5 linked regions of the Rattus norvegicus genome follow. The protein of the gene in region 3 purifies or fractionates together with the protein of the main gene of each other region. This does not show direct contact. Links are inferred from orthologs where the notes say so. Each region holds a gene or a part of one and is shown on either strand. Other genes may lie near its edges.

Region 1 (4,192 bases), about 60 Mb from region 3:
ATAAATACAAAAGGTTTGTGAGAGATAGAGTTTTAAATTAGCTCAAAACTCAGCAACAGGATCTGACTCAGGAAGACAGGTGGTTAAAAATGCAGGAGGACTGGTGCAGACTCACTGACCCTCCGGATGTCACTGGACGTGAGTAAAGGAGTAACGGGTTCTGTTCTGCCCCAGTGATGTTTGTTCAAGCCCCCATTGTGCCCTACATAATGTTCCAGCCATTGTGTCCTGCAGATAATATTCCAGGAAACCGGGGCCGAAGCCTAACCAGATGTGTATCAGATGCAGATGCCTCGTCAACTCTGACAAACATTTACCCTAAAGGACAGGAATCAAGATCTGTTCTCAGGAGAATGAGGGCTTGACCTTTCCCCTGATTTAAACCCTAGAGTCTTAAGAACAATCCTGTGACTTTGAGAGTTTCCCCTCGTGACATTTTTGGTATTTCCTTTTGACATCCCCTTATCTCCTGGGGCTTGTGACTTCTTCCTTTAAATAGCCCTTCTCCCAGCCACACAGGGTAGACACCGCTGTCTCCTGCGAGGGATACGTGTCGGCCCGGAGCCCTCTGTAATAAACCTCGCCTCTGCGTATTGCATCAAGATTGGTCTCTCGTGTGTCTGGGGTCCGCAACTTCCCGAGACTTGAGTAAGGGTGTCCCTTCAGGGATCTTTCAGTTTGGTCCTGGCCTTATAATTAATTCAAAGTAAATTAATACAGGCAAAACTCACTAGACCAGTATCATATCTTTTAACATTTGAATAATGAATCAAAAGGAGAGCGTGCCAAGCACATACCCCATAGCTCAAGACACCCAGCCTAGCCACAGTCCCAGCAGTGATAAAAAGGAAGCAATTAACGAACGTTTGACTAAATTATACCTCTAAGGGTTGATAAATTTCCTGCCAGTCACCGCGACTATACGATTAACCCAAACTAATTACTCTCGGCCTAAAACGCGTTTTAGGAATGACTCTTAAATAGAACTAAAATCCAACTTAAATGTGAAAAGTCATTGGTAGACCTAAATCCAATAACAAAAGTAATTCTAGGCTGGCTTTGAGCTCACAGCGATCCACCTGCCTCCCAAAGGTTGGGATTTAAGGAGTGCGCTGCCAACCAGTCCACCTCCCATTTTTTACACCTATTGGCTGCGAGTGCACACAACGCAGCTGCCCAAAACTAAAACGCCAGAGTGGGCTGCGTTGCCCAGACCTAGAATGGACTCTGACTGTGACGTTTTTTCGGAACCCAAACTTCCATTGGTCCGGTCTCCAAGCCAAGACCCGCCTTCGCCACGGTGCCCTCCCTTCCGTTAGAAGCCTGCTCTTGATTGGCTGCTTGTACTATTTACCTTTTGTCCGGATATTGCGTGACGCAGTGAGTCGCGGGGTTGCGGAGGAGCGGCAGAGGGAGGTCGAACACTCTCGGTTTCGGTGGCCCGGAAGGGAGCCCCGTGGCAGAGGTGACCGGAGCTGAGGTACTGCCCCGAGAGTCCTGAGAATCCCAGTTCTCGTGATGGACGTCGGCACAGCGGGATCTGGGTTGGCTGCTCCGGGCGGGAAGGCCGGGCTCGCCCTCTCTACATCTCCCTCGGCAGGGAGATGCTGAGTCAGCCGCTCGAGGACCCGCGTGGTCGCCCTAGCTGACCGGGAGAGGGTACCGTGGGGTGGTGCGTGGACGCGGAGGCTGCGGGCTAGCGGTGAGAGGGGAGGAAGGGCACACCCGAACACTCGAGCTCAAGAAAGCTTTAGGAAGGGTCGGCAGTAATTCGTACAGACCTAGCCCAGGGGCCCGTTTCAGAGGACCAGAACCCGCACATAAACACATGGCCGATAACCCTCTTAGCTGTTCCCCAACATAAGGCCACTCAGATTAGACTCTGTTCAGGTTAGTAAGCTGAAGCAATATGTTGAGATGATGTAATGGCATGAAAGTACCAGAAGGGCTCGCGGGTTTTTCCGCAAGGTCAGATGCCTAGAGTTGTGTGCACTTCATAGTTCCGGAAGCTCTTAACTTTGGAGGTGCTAGTTAAAACTTCGTTACATTCCTGGAGTTTTAGGGTAAATCTTGGGCAATTTCAAAGTCCCAAGCAAGGCACTGTCGTCAAAAAGCTGTTTTGGCCTAGTTTTCTTGTATTTACAAATGGGGAGAAGGCGGAAATACCAATCACTTGCCTAAAATTCATCACAACTCATTGGCCAGAAATGTGACTTTATAGCATTACAGAGAGACGTTCACTTAACTATCTGGAGCTGAGACAATTCAATTTTAGAATGTTGGGGGCAAGGGTTACCCTATTAAGAATACAAGAAGAATTCTTAATGTTTTGATCGAATGTTATGTAGTGGAATAAATTAATTTGAAAGTGTCTGTCGTATCTTAAAGGGAAATAATATTTGACCTATTTAGTAGACGTATACATGCCTGGCTTTTGTCGATTTTATTTTAGTCTTGTAAAATGTGACCTTAATCTTTTCTCTGGGTGTTTTTCTTGTGCTGAAAAGTTACATAAATTCTTTTATTCACTGAGTGATGGTGTAAATCTTGGGCAAAGCTGCGGTTATAGAATCTGTGATTGTGTCAACATAATGACATTAAATCTCTATTCCATATATCTGGTCAAACTTGGATTTATATCATTGGCTGCCCATTCCAAATTAGATTTCATGAGTTAGAAGGAACAGGGGAGGATACAACATTAAAAATAGTGAAGCCACTGTTCTGATTATTTTTTTCTATTGCAATTTAGTTTCTTCTGATTTTGGCTATGTTTCCTTCTTAATTAACTTAATTTTTTCCCTTCTACCTTTCTAACTAGCATTTCAGATCTGCTTAGTAAACCGGTATATCACCCACCATGTTGGCTGCAAGGCTTGTGTGTCTCCGGACACTACCTTCCAGGGTTTTCCAGCCCACTTTCATCACCAAGGCCTCTCCACTTGTGAAGAATTCCATCACAAAGAACCAATGGCTCTTAACACCCAGCAGGGTAAAGAATGCTTTCCCCCACCCATCCAGGTTGTCTGTTAGAATTTGGTGGTGATGGTGGTAGTTGATTAGTGGGCTGTTCTGTGGGCTTCACACTGGTTGGGAGTAACTTACTCATTAGTTACTGTAACAGTGGTTTACTAAAGCAATAGTAAAGTTTTCAGTGAGCTTTATCCTTGCCAGTTTACATCCTTCCAGTCACTCCTTATCACAAATGCCTTAAGAGGGGTCCCACGCCTTTCCCACATCTAAGATGTTAGGTAACTTTCTAATATACTGTTGTTGCTTTGGATGGTATGTCTTTTTGTCTATGTCAGGAATATGCTACCAAGACAAGAATTAGGACTCACCGTGGGAAAACTGGCCAAGAACTGAAAGAGGCAGCCTTGGAGCCATCACTGGAAAAAGTCTTTAAAAGTATGCGGAAGTTTAGTATTTAATGTGAGGCCTGTATGTGTGTGTGTGTTTAGTTCACAGGCAGCTTCCTGAAAAGCCATACTTCTATTTTGGGGGGTCTGTTAACCCAAAACAGATGGGCACTTTGCATTGGCTTTCATGGTTCCTAATTGTATTAAAGATTTACTAGTTTTAGAAAAACCAAACTTATTATCATCCTATTATGTAAAATGGTAGAGCCTATTCAGGAAGTTTATTTCAAGTTATGGAGAATCTTCATTCAAGCAGGTGCTTGTGAATGTCAATTTCTGTTCATGTGTACGTCTGTGTGACTACCTGCCAGGTGGATGCCAGTGCCCACAGAGGCCAGAAGAAGATATCTGATCGCCTGGACTAGAGTTATAGGTGACTGTATGCCACCTGAAGTAGATTCTGGGAACTGAACTCAGGTCCTCTGTAAGAGTAGCAAAGGGCTCTTAATCACAGAGCCATATCTGCAGCCCCTTGAAAGGCATTACCTTAATGAAGTCATTTGATTCGTAGTTTGGATTTTAACTTTGGAGATTCTGAAGCCAGACTTCCAGATTGCTAATCTTGCCTAAATTTCAACAGAAGCCTTGCTACTTGACAGTTTTAGAAGTGTCACCGTATTATATAGTTCAGGAAAGCCCTGATTAGTATCATGCAAGGCGTTTCTTTTTGATTAGAGGCTTGACCACAGAGGAAAAAAAAAAAATCAGGATTTTCCAGTTACATTTTTAGTAAACAAGTTTAAGTTGAAGAAAGTAAGATGTGTTTTTTATGA
Region 2 (3,514 bases), on a different chromosome or scaffold from region 3:
ACAGCATGTCCCAAATCAGTACCCATAATTCTGAGTAGAATTTAGCATAAGTAGATTGACCATCACAAATTGTGGTAGAGTTGTAAAAGTTTGAGCATTCATAAATCCTTCAGCAGGTACTGGTTCCCCATGCTGTGTGCCAGGGATAGCCTGTGTAGTTCAGATGGAGAGAAGGTGGGATCAGGACTGCCAATGGGGGCTGGAACCACAGATCACTCTTTCAGCAGAAAAATATTTGTTCTCGTTAAGTATCGGTTTCCTCACCTGTAAAATGATGCTGATATTTCTCATGGTTGTAAAGAGAATGAACTGCTTGAGTGAATGAATCATCTAGCCTGGTGAAGGTGGAATCTGGTCCACGGGGGTACTGTTGTCAGAGTAAAGTGAGCATCAGAATTGTTATAAAGCCACACAAGTGGTCGCACAGAGGAGGAGACAGCCAGCTTCTTAGGAATGTAGATGGAGTAGATCAAAGCAGCTTCCTGGAAAAGTACTTGAGATCAAATGCTGATAAAGTATTTGTTCTACAGATCGGTAGAGATGCTATCCTATGTTTAGAGCCAGAAAGGTGTGAAACCAGTCACCTTTCTCGAACTGCTATGTTTAATGGACTTGCCACATTGGCTGTGCTTTAGGGGGTCACCAAGAGAGAGCAGTAGTGTAAGATCATTAAGGTGAGATCACAGGGTACTGTTTGCTTTTCTACTAGTGAGCAGAGGTGGTACACAGTTCATATGCAGGATCACTGACATTGAAAGAAAAGACGAGGGTGGGAACCTGAGAGCAAATGCTATGAAATGTGTTTCAGGTGCTAAGACTGTAGGCAGAAACATCTACTAGGCTGCTGATTTTCCAAATTCTTTGGACTCCATCAAGAGCAGTGCAGTGATGAGATGCATGTGTAGACAAACGGGTGTCACACAGCAGCATTTATGCATACAAGGTGCTAGGCTACATCTTGATGGTTTCTCTTTCCTTTGGTTTAAATGCCTGTTGCAACCCTCTAAGTTTTCCACCATCTGCTGATGAGGCTTTTGTGGTTCTGACAAAAGATGATCTAAATCAAGAGGATCGAGCAGCGTGGCTGGGAAAGGAAGGCGGGGCTTCAGTTACTTCAGAGACACAGGGATTGGTCGCCACTTAGATACAGTTGGCATTAAGTTGACCCATGTGTACCTCTCAGAGTGACTGGAGTCGTACCCAAGATACACAGCAGAAACTAAGCGCTGAAGCACCACCTGGGGCCCTGGTGTGGGTGCAGTGCTCTGCTAATCAGTGCAGGCTGCTGTCTGTGAAATATAAATGGCTGTCCCGGGCGTGCACTCTACAGCTTGCCCTGGCCTTGAGCTGGTTTATCTGTTTCACATCTGGAGAGGTGGTGATAGTGGTGAGTTTGGTTTGTTACGTTAAGGGTAACTATAGACTGTTTTTCACAACTGTTAGGAACTTGATCAAATGTGTCTACGGCTCAGGAAGGTGTTTGTACTCTCTAGACTATGAATGGTAATTGAACTTAGAGTGATGGACAAAGTCTCCAGAGAGCAATGGAGGAAACAGTACATTGTAATAACTCAGGGAAGCATACACAATGAATTGGGAGCAGGAGTAATCAGAACTAGTAAATAGGCATGGTTGTCCATGTTTGCGACCCCAGCAGTAGGGATGCATGAGATCACAATTTGAGGTGCAGCTTCAGCTGCATAGCTGATCGAAGCCAGCCTGGACGAGGCGAGACCCTGTTTCAACAAAGAAACAGAAAAAGTAGGAGAACGGCGTCTTCCACAGTGAGCAGATACCATCTAAAAGAAAACATTGCCTACTCTATTGAGCATGTAGAGAGGTCTTTGAGTTGAAGAATCTCTCAAATATGGCAAATAGGAGAGCCATTTCCCTGCAGTGGCGAGGGAGGAAGCCTAACAGCAGTGTGACCCAGAGACCAGCAATGTGGGGCAGAACGTCAAGAGAAGGATGCGTTCTTGAATCCTGGCATTGGGGAGGCATAGCAAGGCACCAGGAGAGAGTACAAAAGTGATGACAGCTGGTGGGGACCACAGAGAGAGTGTGTGCCCAGAGGACACACTGAATTGGGAGCTGATGGCCACAGCCAGAGACTGCTCCCTGCCATTGTCACTCCTGTTTCTATTAGGGATGAGTGTAGCTACATGACAGGAAATTGGGGTATCAGCAAGCAGGAAGTATTTAAGGGGTCTTCAATTATGAGATTATCCATGGATTAACTAGCCAGAGTGGAAGAATTTTTTCTTCTTAATAACTATGGGTGCTAAACTTGATAACCCACTTCTTACTCTTTCCAAATTCATGCCTTCTGCTTCTTAAACACTCAATTAGTCAGAAATCCAGGAAGGTGGGTGTGCTGGGATCCACCTCGAATCCTTTAGTAGTCAAGGACCTGTGTTTATCTTGCTCTCATGCAGCCAGGGAGCCTGAGGACAGTAGTGGTTGGATCCAAGTGCCTTCACTCATCTGTAGCTTACAGATTTCCTTCACTAAACCTAAGTGGCACTATTCAAATCTAAGCTCTAGTTCCGGGCTGTTCTTGGCTTTTTCACCTTTCCACTGAAAGCATTTAGTGATGTCTGTCTAGATCTGACCCTTCTGGCCAAAAGTTTACAATGACACTTCCTGGCCTGTTGTCGTATCTTCATTTAACAGTAGCTTCTTTAAGTTTATTTAAATTAAATAATGTCATTTAATTCATATCTTTATGTTGCATGATATGTATGTGTATATGTGTTTATATATAAACTGTGTATTTGATTTATTAACATTTTTACTTTTGCATTCTTGTATTGCTATTTTGAATATGCAGTTGTTTTTCTATTAGATAACTACAGTGTTCTCCATTTTAGATCCAACTGAGGAGCCAGCACCACAGGCCACCAACACAGTTGGTTCCGTTATCGGAGTAATTGTCACCATTTTTGTGTCTGGAACCATATACTTTATCTGCCAAAGGATGCTGTGTCCTCGTATGAAGGGGGATGGGGAAACCATGACTAATGACTACGTGGTTCACGGCCCAGCTTCTGTGCCCCTTGGTTATGTTCCTCACCCAAGCTCTCTGTCTGGATCTCTTCCAGGTAAGCGAAGACAGGTTTATGAGAATCTGGTCTTGTCTAGTTTTAAGTTCTAGGATTACAGACTAGATTACTCTGGGTTTAAGGAATTGTGAGAATTTTTTTTACACTTTTATACTGACTTTCTATGCAGAAAGACTTAAGTATCATTCCGTTTGCCCGCTCCAGGCCTCTGACTGTACCACTGAAAATGTCAGCCAGTGCTTTGGTGAATTCCTTCACCACTGGGGGAGCCTGAGGCTATTGAGTGTAGGAATAAAGGCGTTAAAAGACAGAGCAGTTTGCTGTTCACAAAGAAGAGTTTGGAAATAGCTGGTTGACAGGGAGAGAGTGTACCCTCCTCTGTCCTCTCCAGATCTAACGTGCTGACACTGGTGTGAGCACACTGGTGTGAGCACACTGGTGTGAGCGTGGTT
Region 3 (4,314 bases):
CGCGCGTGTGTCCATGCATGTGCATTTGGAGAGCAAAGGACACGGTGAGCATCCTTACTCACCTTACCATGTGGGTCCTAGGGATCTCGGACTTAGATTGTCAGACTTGACGGCAAGCACCCTGACCTGCTGGCCCTCTCAGGCCCCTACAGCATCACTTCTTATTCTAGCAAACTGTATATAACACCCCTCATGGTTTTATTCATTTTGTAAAAGGTTGTTTTGGATTTTACTTGATGTGCTTTGCGTGCTTATATGTCTGAGCACCACTGTGTGCAGTGCCTTCAGAGGGCAGAGGCAGAAGGTCTAATCCTCTAGAACTGGGTTGCAGGCAGTGGTTAGCTGCCAAGTGGATGACTGGAACCCTGGTCCCCTGGAAGAGCAACCAATGCTCTCACCTACTAAGCCGTCATCTCTCCAGCCCCTATCCTAGCCATTTTAAGTGGGTATTTCAATGGCATCTCATACACATTATTTTACAGCCATTACCTCCATCGTCACCAGAGGTTTTAAAGCTTCTCAAACGGAAACTATTCATTGAACAGTGTTCTTAATGGCATATATATATGCATATGTATATGTGTATATGTACATATATGTGTATATATTTCATGTAATTTATTTCTTGCTGTTATATATCCAGGTATATTTTCTACAATAAATATCCTTGGTGCTGGAGAAATGGCTCCACACTACCTGAGTTTAGTTCATAGCATTGATATTAGGTAGATCACAATTTCCAGCGAGTCTTTCTATCATTTCTTTGAGTTCTCTGGCATACCACATAGGCACGCATTTGTCAGTCCGAGAAGCAAAGGTTGCTTAGAGGGTTTTGTTTTGGTTTTTTTTTTTTTTTTTTTTTGAGAATTGTTTTGTTTTTGCCCCACTCCTCTGGTGCTTGATCAAGGTGCATGCTTCGAGTTAACACTCATCGTTTGGATAATAAACACAGATGGTTTTTTAAACCTGCACGCTGTACTGTCTTGATTTCGAATCTGGAAAGTAGATCAGTTTTTTAAGTACAACAAATTAGGTGGTGTTATGTCTGATTTTCCATTTCCCACCCTTACCCCTCTCGTGACACATTAAGACCTTCCAGCCTTCACGTCGCTTGAAGTCTGTGAAGTGCAGCTTTGCGTCTCAGGTGGAAGCTCCACAGTCACCTTTACGTGTAGTTATCAAATCCAGAGGCATCAGTACACTGAGGCTCAGTCTGCGATTTTCTCATGCTGCTTTTCTGACGATCCCTCTTTGGCAGCCGCCGCTTTGCAGAGAGTGTAGAACTGCAGATCGGGGAAACAACCCTCTGAGGTCCTCAGCCCCAGGCTCAACCCTGCTGCTGCTTCCTGGCGTTTACCAATTTGGCTAGAGGAAACCAGAACCAGGGGCTGGCTGGGTGAGGGTACACTGCCGCGGGCGTCCAGTGTGAGGCGGGAGGCGGCCACCAGAGGGCAGCCTAACGCTCGCCTCCGACCGCTTCCGGCCGCGCAGGCGTTCTGGGATGCGAGCCGGATTTGGTGGTCTCCAGGTAGGCTCCGGGGCGTAGTGAGGTGGGCCAGGGTTCTGTGGGGCCTTTCCGAACCCGACCCCCGGCCCCATCTTCCCGGCCCAGCCCCAGAGTGGGCTCTCATGGGGCTCAGCTGGGACTAGACTTGGAAACTGGTGCTGGCAGCGGCCCCTAGGGTGCTTACCGTGCACCCCTTCTCCGGGTGTTCATCGTGCAACTCCCCTCGGGTGCTCACCGAGAACCCCTCTCCGGGTGCGTACGGTGCACACCCGCTCAGGGTGCTTACCGTGCACCGGGCGCTGCTACTGAACTGTGTGAGCGAGCGGAGACTGCCCGCCATGCCCTCGCTTTCTCTCCCCCTCCCTCTCACTTCTCTCCCCACTTCTTTGTTAAAACCCAATTTTAGACGTTTAGTAAATTTGATGCCTCCGCCCTTTCGCCTGCACAAACTAAATAACATCCAGAATATTTAAATAGTTACCGGGAAGTGAGATTTAGTCTGAACCGAATTGGTGGCACCAGCGCCTTCTCGAATCATATAAACTATCTGCACATTGGCAGTTCACTTAATTTTCCCTGTCTAGCCTAAGCAGTGAGCATACAGCCGCTGGTCCTTTTTCACCGTTATCAACTAGCCGTCGAGTTTAAACAGTGCCAGACGTTCCTACTCAGCCGGCTACACATATTCTCTAAGCTCTGGGCAGTCCACAAGAAACAGGTGTGTTAACACACACCAGTTGCCAAGAAATGAGGGTTCGGCATAGAGCTGATAATGTGGATTCTGAGGCTGGAGGGATGGCTGGTGGTTAAGAGCCACATGTGTTGTGTGCCTTGTTGCAGAGGACCTCGGTTCGATTCCCTAATGGCTCACCACTGTCCATAATTTCAGTTCCAGGGAATCCAGCGCTTTATTCTGACCCCCGGGGCACCAGGCACACACACACACACAACACATATTGGACAATGTGAGTGCAAGCAAACACTCATGCGTATAAAATAAGCAAATTTAAAAATATGAATTCTAGGTTCCTGCAGCGTTTTGTCCATGATGCTGGTAGCATTGGAGCGTGCCGGCTTTTTTTGTTATCGTCAGCTTTTTAAAGGGGAAGGGTTTACTGGGGATCAATCATGGGATTCGTTCTGTGACCTTTGCTTATGGCCCATGCTCAGTATACACATCATGGCTGGAGAGAGCAGTGGAAAGGGAAACTGAAGGAGGGAAGACCGTGAGTGGGGAGGTCATCTTACTTCCTGACACCCCGGAAGCACAGAGACACAGGCTGAGGTCCCAGTAGCTCCTTCCAGGGCACGCTGTTACCTTCCGAGGCTTCCTTGTAACAGACTCTGCCTGCTCAAGGTTCTGCTGCCGTCTGGTAGTGCCAACAGCCAAGACCGAGTCTTTAATGAATAGGCCTTTGGCAGATTCTCACGCAAACTGAAGGGGACTGGAGGTATATATGACAGCTTCTCTGTGCTGCCACACATCCCTTGCAAAACCCCGGAAAGGGGCTGACAGTTTTACATTCAAAAGTGTGTGCTCCTATGTGCGTGTTTCACAGGTGTGTCATGGCACACATGTGGAGGTCAGAGTACAGCATGGGTGCTGCTCTGGCCTCCTGCCTTGTTTGAAACGGTGTCACTTTGTGATGTCCCACCATGTATCTGGCTAGCTGGCCTGGCAGCTTCTGACTATTCTGTCTCTACAATCCATGAGATTATGGGTACATCTGGCTTCTCTTGGGTTCTGGGGTCCTCACACTTTACCCACTGAGCAGTCTGCCCAGCCCGCCATCCTTTCCTTCCTAAAACTATATGATTTCTAGGGTCCAGGAAGCTTGCATTCACCCAGGTAAGGTCAAGGTAAGATGAGGGAGAGGTTGAAAGAGATTTGACACTGGGAAGATGTAACTATAGTGTTGGTGTGGTGACACTGGGTGCAAGAAGAAATGGGTGGATGAGAAGCATGATGGGACAGACAGGTCCCCATAGACTAAAAAAGAGACACCGGGGCCATGAGTAAAGCCAAGGACAACAGGAGTGTGCGTGCCAGAGACCATAAACACAGAAAAGTGCAGCGTGACCTGCCAATCCGTGCATTCTTCTCAAGTCCCTGCCGCGAGAGGCACTGCAGACAGTGGGGAACCAAACAACAGAAGACAAACATCAAGGAACGTGTAATCTAGAGGGGAAAGGCCTACGTATCTCCTAAAGGGTTTCTTTGAGCACCTAGGAATGTTTGGGGGCTGGAGTGCGGCACAGTGCATGTGTGCATTCATGTGTACATGCGTGTGTGTGTGTGTGTGTGTGTGTGTGTGTGTGTGTGTGTGTGTGTGTGCATGCATGCGTGAGTGTGTGGAGAGTAGGTGAACCAGTACTGGGCTCCAGAAGTTTACTTTCCCCTTCGTGTTCTCCAAGGCAGTGCATCTTGGCATAGACTATGTTCTACATCCCTAGCCACTCAGGACTCATCTAAGAGTTTTGTTTGTCAGGGCACAGTGGGAATATTGAATGCCTGCATTCCCCAGGCAGGCGGGTGTGAGAGTGGGATTAAATCTGTGGTTTGGAAGGATCACCCTTTGTCAGAGACTCTGTCTCTTACACACACACACATAAAGAAATATGTACAAACTGTGTTTCACACCAGGGTGGTTGTGAATGCTTATAATTCCAGCACATTGGAGAGTGAGGCAGGAGGATTGATTGTACGGTTGGTCTGTCTATACAGTAAGACTGGGGTTGGGGGAATTATCTCACTAATGGTGCTAGAATCAGTCACAACTAATGAAGTACAGTAGATGGCATCTCTA
Region 4 (3,514 bases), on a different chromosome or scaffold from region 3:
AATAACTCATGCTATGTGTCAATCCTCCCATAAATACTTTTAGCCTGTGTTCAATTATAGTCAATTCTGAATTGGCCCATCTCTGGATTAGACTTTCTAAAGTCTACACAGAGTAAAAGAAATAGACACTAATGGAAAGTCTGTAATCTATCCTGTAGTTGGACCCTAGAAAGATGTGGGCTTGCTAAAAAAGAAACATGTAATCACAGTAAAGCCAACACTATGCAGAGCTTATAATTTTCAGCAACGGACTGCAAGCTGCACTGTGAAGAAAATGCATAGCAGAGAAAGCTAGGGACTGAGGAGATGCATGAGGAAAACAGTGTCAACACAGTGGAACAAGTGATGTAATTATCTACTCAGGCACACCAGCCTTCCTTAAAAAGCCTTGTGCTCCAGAGGATCTGAGCTGTCAGACCTCCTATATGGGAAGTACAGTATAAACTGCTGCATTAAGCCAGCTCCTTTCCTCTGCAAAGCTGTTTGTGAATGGAGCAGTTCCAACAACAGAACACTGCACTTTATGATCTGACCAACACCAAGTGAAAGTCTCCTTTTAGTTCTTTTTGGGTCTATTCAATACAATGTAAATTTGATATAAATTGAGCTTCCATCTAATCTCTGTGTCCTTAAGAGGAATTAAGTAATGGAAGCACACAAAACAAGATTATAACCACAAATGACTGCACTTGAACGTGATTACAATTTTTGGGACAGACACATGAATGTTTTAATACCAAACTTAAAAAAATTGTTATAAAAACTGCAATTCATTCTCCCTAGCATTCCTAATGTTGGTGTTATTTCTGCATGAACAAATTAATATATTAAATTAAGCCAAGATTTTAAATTGGCAAAAATTCTATCATTGTATCTTTAAAAAAAGGAAAAAAAGACAAACCTGGAAGATTTTAAAAACAACAAAACACTAGTTAGTTGCTTCATGTTACATTTCACAACCATTATGTTAAATGTTTTCTTTTCTACAGAAACAGGGTCCTTTACATTACAACTGCAATAGTTTACTGCTAGATGTTTAAAATTACAGGCTAGTATTCACTGGAACCTGTTGATGGTGACATCTTGAGGTTTTCTGAGCTCCCACCTAAGGTACACCAGGCCCTCTCCTAGGACCATATTTGCAGGGGAAGGGGAGGGAGAGGAAATCACAGATCAAGTTCTTAAGATTGTTTCACTCTCTTCGTGGCTTTCTGTTTCTTGGTGATCTGTTCAAAATTTCATCCTCCTATAAGTTGAAAGAGTTCATATAATTAGCATATTTAAACACAAATGCTGTCAAACTTGCACAAGCATTTAAACTAAGTCACTCAATTGGTGAAAAGCTATAATGTGACAGGTACTAGAATTATAGGTATTCAATTTTAGTCTTTATTTTCAGAAAACATGTACTTTCCTTAAACCTAACTTGGTAGAGGATTTTTTACTTTATCCGATGTGTCTGCCTGAATCTGTATCTCTGTACCCTGTGCATGCCTGAAGAGGGCATCCGATCCCCCGGGACTGGAATGACAGGCAGTTGTGAGCCACCATATGTGTATTAAGAATTAAATCCAGGTACCCTTGAGAGCACCCACAGCAACACATAAAATAGAGTAGAGCACATACTGGGTATGACGGCAGGAAGACTAGAAGCTCAGTATTACCCTTGACTACACAGAACGAACAGTGTGGACTACATGAAAGCTTGTCTCGAAAAGTTTTAAGCATATCACATGGTGGTGGCACACACCTTTAATCTTAGCTTTTGGAAGGCAAAGGCATGCAGACCTCTGAGTTCCAAGCCACTGTAGTGGTATTCAAGAAATACCTTTGAGGACATACACCACAGGACTGTTAAGAAACTTGGTACTCCTATTTATTTAAAAAAAGGATTGGAGGACCCACCTTGCCCACACAGAAAAAAATTTCCAGTCATTGTAAACTAATGTATAAAGCACTGCCTTTGGGTTGCAGAGATGGCTCTTTGAGAGGATCCATGGCACCTGTAACTTCAGTGCCTTGGGGATGCATCAGTTCTGGCAATTGAAGCACTTGCACTCACACGTACATACCATAACCACACTGCACATAAACTTACTTAAAAAAATCTTTACTAAATATGTTTTCAGCTTAGGTGGCTGGAAGCATTTATTATCCTGCCTTACCTCTGCTTTAGGCTTGCTATCTTCCTCATCTTGACTGCCAGTGCCACCATCTTCTTCAGCATCACTCTTCTGTTTCTCTTCTAGGACAGAAAATGAAACTACTAAACAGAACTTCACTTAAAGTTCTGACAATAATTATAGCATAATTTAAGAACAACCCACTGTAGCTTATTTTGTTAATCAGGGTCTAGAATAGATTTCTAGACTCTACTCACCAAGCTTCTCCTCTTCTTCCTCTTCATCTCCCTTGTTCTTCTCTTCTTCCTTCCCTTCTTCGTCCTTCACATCTGGCTGGGGAGCATCTGTCTTCTTGTACTCCATAGCATTGGACTGTTTCTGAAATATAGTCAAGTATAAGAACCATGTTTATGTTATAACAAAAATATTACCCCTCAATTCCTGAATGTCTACAAGGCAAAATTATATACAAGGTTGTGTACAAGGCAGTTATACAGACACATGAAAGACATTGTTTTTACTCTACAGGTTTGCCCCATGGGAGGGACTGAGAGGGAAGTTAAGGAAGAGAGGTATCATGAAAAACAAAACAGATTCAGTAAGGAAGCACAGGCTAAGCTTGTCAAGCTGACTCAGATACATATACTCCAACAGTGAATGATGAGGGTAAGGCTAGAAAGAAACCTTTGAATCTGACAAAGTATAAATAATTTTTTTTTCCTTTTCATTTTTTCGGAGCTGGGGACTGGACCCAGGGCCTTAAATCCCCAACCCCAAAGTATAAATAATTTAAATAGAGTCAAAATCCTAAGTTAGTAGGAGACAGCAAGAAACAAGGTCTGAATAAGAAAAACACTGAGGCTGTAAAACCTGAAAGCACAGTTTTAAGATGTATTGTTTGAGAGAGTGAAGGCAGGGAAAGAGCCATAGATAAATAAGAATAGAAATAATGAGGAAGACTATTTTGTGCCCAGATGGCTGATCTTATATCCATATTGTTCTTTTTCCCCTAGATAGGATCACTCCATATAAAGGACAAGAACAGAGTGGAATGACAAACAAGGAACTCTAAATCCTGTCATCATCTGGGTACAAGGAACCCCTGCAAAACATGGACCAGTATTTACGAACTACTAAAGAAAATCTCGGGTTGGGGATTTAGCTCAGTGGTAGAGCGCTTGCCTAGGAAGCGCAAGGCCCTGGGTTCGGTCCCCAGCTCCAAAAAAAAGAACCAAAAAAAAAAAAAAAAAAGAAAATCTCAGGCTGGAGAGATGGCTCAGAGGTTAAGAGCACTGTCTGCTCTTCCAAAGGTCCTGAGTTCAATTCCCAGCAACCACATGGTGGCTCACAACCATCCATCCATATTGAGTTCCGATGCCTTCTTTTGGCCT
Region 5 (3,514 bases), on a different chromosome or scaffold from region 3:
GCTCACAACCATCTGTAATGGGATTGGATGCCCCTCTTCTGGTGTGTCTGAAGACAACTACAATGTATCCTATACCTGAAATAAATAAATAATTCTTTAAAAAAAAAAAAAGAAATCCACGCTTCTAACTTCAGTGACTTTTAGAATAAATTGCAGTTGCACAACCATCATCACTATCTAATTCCAGAGATTTCCATCACCCCAGAATAAATCTCACACCCATTAGCAATTGCTTTCCCCTGGTTTGCAGTAGGTTTCCCTCCTTTCATATGCACGCTGCCCTGTGCTAATCCCTTTCCTAATTAAAGTATTCTGACTAAACACAGGTGCACATTGACGATTGAAATAGATATGTAAGTAGACATGCTTGCAACCTCAGCTTTCAGGATGCTAACTAAGCCTGGAGGATTGCAAGGGGGAGGCTAGCCTGGGCCACATAGCAATACCTTATCTCAAAAAAATGAAAACAGAAACACCTGGTCTCTGATCTCTTCAAATTTGTAGCCTCACTAAATACTTTTGAGTGGACTTGTGATAGGTCTCATAGCTACTACATGGGGAAACTGGACCCTGAGTACAGATTGTCCTACTCTAAAGCTGTCCTTTGCTTTGCAGTGGCTCTTGTGGTGTGTCTCCTGATGTCACATGAGCCAACACTATCCCTAGAGCTCAGTAGTCTGCACCCCAAGTCTGTGCCCCAGGGTCAGAGCCACTTAGTAAGTTAAGAAGTCAGAATTGGGTTGAGCGAGGTTGCGTCAGCTGGTGTTAAAATCTTGTCAGCAGCACCCATCACTTAAATTAATACCACAGAATACCAGTCAGCTTTCAGTGCAACCAAGCCTCATGTTTTCTGTGTACATTTTTGCCTTTGATGGTCATTAAGACATGATTTTCCCTCCTGGGAATGTTAAGGGTAAGAATGATTTGATTTCTCCTTTCCCATTCAAATTTCTTTTAATGAGATCTTAAGAGTTTCCATGTTGGGGGCTTGGCTCAAAGCCTGTTAGCCTGATAGAAGTCGTGGGTTGTGTATGAGTGTTTGAGTTTGGGTAGCCTGCCATGTTAGCTTTACCAGAGTTGATCTGCATCAGCAGCAGGGTGGAGTCTGATGCTGGTGGTTGTGACTGTTCGTGAAATTATCTATACCCTCTCCCGGCAAGGTTTGTTCTCTTGAGTACACACATCATAAATAAAATAATTCTTTTTCCTTAAACGCTTTCCTTGTTTGTTTAGCTCATGTCCCTGATGCCAAGGATGCACCTCCTCTTCCCTCTGACTCTGGTGAGGTCCTTCTGGAGCGACATGATGGACTCTGCACAGAGCTTCATAACCTCTTCATGGACTTTTTATCTTCAAGCTGATGATGGAAAAATAGTCATATTCCAGGTGACACCTGTGTCGCACACATTGACCGAAGTACAACAATGGGCGCTGTCCGTGTCTTACATAAGGGCCTTGGCATAGAACCATGTAGTCAGTCACCTAATGCTTTTGTCAAATGCTGCTGCTTAACTGGCCTTGTGGAGACCCTGAGCAGCAGGACACAGTGTAGTCACCTTTCCTTCTTGCCTTGAGGCCTTACCTCAAGCTTAGTGGTTATTTGGTCTTCTTGGTTTGACTAACTTGGAAAATGAGAAATTTAGATAGGAAGGTAATACCATATACCTTGAACATAAATAGTGGCATATAACACAGACACTAGAAAAGTGTTAATGATACAATAGGAAGTTTATGTGTTTTCCTCTAGCTGCCTGTAAGAACGTGGTACAGATGCATTTGCCCTCCAGGGAGGTAATTTTCCTCTTGTCTAGAAATTGACTGTGTGATAAGATGTTAACAAGTTCTATATAGTCTTAGAGTGCCTATGAGAAGTTATCCAGGATCCTGAGGATGCTACTATTTGGGGATGCTAAATCTCATAATATGAAGTGACATTGCATTTACATATAACCTACAAACTCCCCCCTGTGTAGGTAGTTATGGGTCATTTAATAATATAGTATTCTTGAACTGAGATGCTACAGTATTACTAGGTGGGGATGTCATTATAGTGTTGCTGTCACAGTGCGTGACTGCGCTTTAAATCACCCCTGAGTTGCTTGTGAAATCTGCACAAATAATTGTTATGATGTAGTTTAATGATAATGGAGATGCCTGTGCACACTCAGTACAGATCCCCCCAGGAGTGGTTCAGTTACAGACATGAAGTGCAGTGACATAGAACGCATGGGTGTAGAGAACTGACTGGTTTCTGAAGCTCTAAACAGTGTTGTGAGGTTGTATCACCCCTGCTTCTTGGTGAGGAAGCTAAGCACCCAGCTTTCCTAGAGTCGTGCTGTTGGTTACTAGTAATGTGATATTCAGCTCAAACTCAGGGCATTTTTAGGCTCCACACCCATAGTGCATCCTGACATCCTATTTTCTTCAATTCAGTAAGTTCCTCATCTATATCAGTCAGCAGGTTGCGTTGTGACACTATCTAGCTCTCACGTAGTAAGCCACGGCTTTAAGCATTATTATAGTGGTTTACCATATGACTACTTTGTGATTCCTAGCATTATCCTACGTTTGGGTCCTCTGCACTTAATTTGATGGCAATAAAACACAGTGTCTTCTTATATTTATGGATAAGTTCTGTGTCCTAAAGCTACATACACAAAAGCATCCTCAGTGGATGAGGGATTCTCTTTCTCTCAAGTCTATGTCAGCTTGAGTGTAACTTGGATGAAGAAAGTCCCTTTCCAGAGGCTCAGAGATATGAGGTGTAGAATGCATGCCTGTAGTGTGTCAGAAGCTTAGCGTTAGGAAGGAACAGAATGTTCCAGATGAGAAAAGAGTTCGTATGTACAATATGTATTTGGTTAAAATATACTATATCCAGGATAATATATAATATATATTTGGTTAAAAATTTAAGCAGGCTGCTGAGTTATTTCTGATCAACTAAAATCGGAATTCATTTTTACCAGCTAAATAATATTGAAGTTTTGTGGTTGATGTGTTTTATCTGTTACTGTTTTTCAATTTGAAGTTTGATAGTATGGATAGTGTGTTCTAGAACTTGTTACTAAGAACAGCGTCTGAGGTATGAATGACATAATGCTTTCCTCACCATTTTAGTCTAAGCCGGAAATTCAGTATGCACCGCAGTTGGAGCAGGAGCCTGCAGACTTAAGACAGTCATCGTTAAGCAAAATGTCCTGTAAGTTTTATTTGAAGTAGATGGTTAAACCTTAGCTGTCAGATCTGTTGTAATTGCCCACTCTGACTTCCAGTTCTGGTTCCATCTACCTGGGGGTTTGCACTTCTAATGAGTTCCACATCCTGGTAATGCTGCTAGCATGGGGACCATGCACTGTTCTAAACTCCATTTCAAAGCTTCCAATGTGAACTAACAAAGTAGTGGGTTTTTTCCCAATAAGCCTAATCGTGATACTACCTTAAAAGTGTGAGTTTCCTATTCTCTTTTTTATTTCCATGCTAGATACGAATTTTAAATCATAGGAACATCAAA

Evidence for each region.
Region 1: the proteins of Pomk (region 3) and Ghitm purify together in Homo sapiens (affinity purification with mass spectrometry; 3 studies listed by BioGRID and IntAct, counting the BioPlex papers as one, with this or other methods). This does not show direct contact. The link is inferred for Rattus norvegicus from reciprocal best matches to the Homo sapiens genes POMK and GHITM.
Region 2: the proteins of Pomk (region 3) and Lrp6 purify together in Homo sapiens (affinity purification with mass spectrometry; 3 studies listed by BioGRID and IntAct, counting the BioPlex papers as one, with this or other methods). This does not show direct contact. The link is inferred for Rattus norvegicus from reciprocal best matches to the Homo sapiens genes POMK and LRP6.
Region 4: the proteins of Pomk (region 3) and Canx purify together in Homo sapiens (affinity purification with mass spectrometry; 3 studies listed by BioGRID and IntAct, counting the BioPlex papers as one, with this or other methods). This does not show direct contact. The link is inferred for Rattus norvegicus from reciprocal best matches to the Homo sapiens genes POMK and CANX.
Region 5: the proteins of Pomk (region 3) and Tmem59 purify together in Homo sapiens (affinity purification with mass spectrometry; 3 studies listed by BioGRID and IntAct, with this or other methods). This does not show direct contact. The link is inferred for Rattus norvegicus from reciprocal best matches to the Homo sapiens genes POMK and TMEM59.

The regions. Positions count from the first base shown.
Region 1 is NC_086034.1:12,915,340-12,919,531, reverse strand, and holds the start of Ghitm (growth hormone-inducible transmembrane protein), read left to right. Parts: upstream 1-1,386; 5' UTR 1,387-1,480; exon of another isoform or gene 1,481-1,702; intron 1,703-2,821; 5' UTR 2,822-2,860; coding exon 2,861-2,992; intron 2,993-3,308; coding exon 3,309-3,408; intron 3,409-4,192. UniProt on the Homo sapiens protein: Plays an important role in maintenance of mitochondrial morphology and in mediating either calcium or potassium/proton antiport. Mediates proton-dependent calcium efflux from mitochondrion.
Region 2 is NC_086022.1:169,006,217-169,009,730, reverse strand, and holds part of Lrp6 (low-density lipoprotein receptor-related protein 6 isoform 2 precursor), read left to right. Parts: intron 1-2,870; coding exon 2,871-3,101; intron 3,102-3,514. UniProt on the Homo sapiens protein: Component of the Wnt-Fzd-LRP5-LRP6 complex that triggers beta-catenin signaling through inducing aggregation of receptor-ligand complexes into ribosome-sized signalosomes.
Region 3 is NC_086034.1:72,789,246-72,793,559, forward strand, and holds the start of Pomk (protein O-mannose kinase), read left to right. Parts: upstream 1-1,503; 5' UTR 1,504-1,528; intron 1,529-2,091; exon of another isoform or gene 2,092-2,225; intron 2,226-4,314. UniProt on the Homo sapiens protein: Protein O-mannose kinase that specifically mediates phosphorylation at the 6-position of an O-mannose of the trisaccharide (N-acetylgalactosamine (GalNAc)-beta-1,3-N-acetylglucosamine (GlcNAc)-beta-1,4-mannose) to generate phosphorylated O-mannosyl trisaccharide (N-acetylgalactosamine-beta-1,3-N-acetylglucosamine-beta-1,4-(phosphate-6-)mannose).
Region 4 is NC_086028.1:35,126,856-35,130,369, forward strand, and holds part of Canx (calnexin precursor), read right to left. Parts: exon of another isoform or gene 3,386-3,514; intron 3,380-3,385; exon of another isoform or gene 3,137-3,379; intron 2,502-3,136; coding exon 2,381-2,501; intron 2,246-2,380; coding exon 2,166-2,245; intron 1,247-2,165; coding exon 1,193-1,246; 3' UTR 1-1,192. UniProt on the Homo sapiens protein: Calcium-binding protein that interacts with newly synthesized monoglucosylated glycoproteins in the endoplasmic reticulum. It may act in assisting protein assembly and/or in the retention within the ER of unassembled protein subunits.
Region 5 is NC_086023.1:127,201,320-127,204,833, forward strand, and holds part of Tmem59 (transmembrane protein 59 precursor), read left to right. Parts: intron 1-1,233; coding exon 1,234-1,386; intron 1,387-3,120; coding exon 3,121-3,202; intron 3,203-3,514.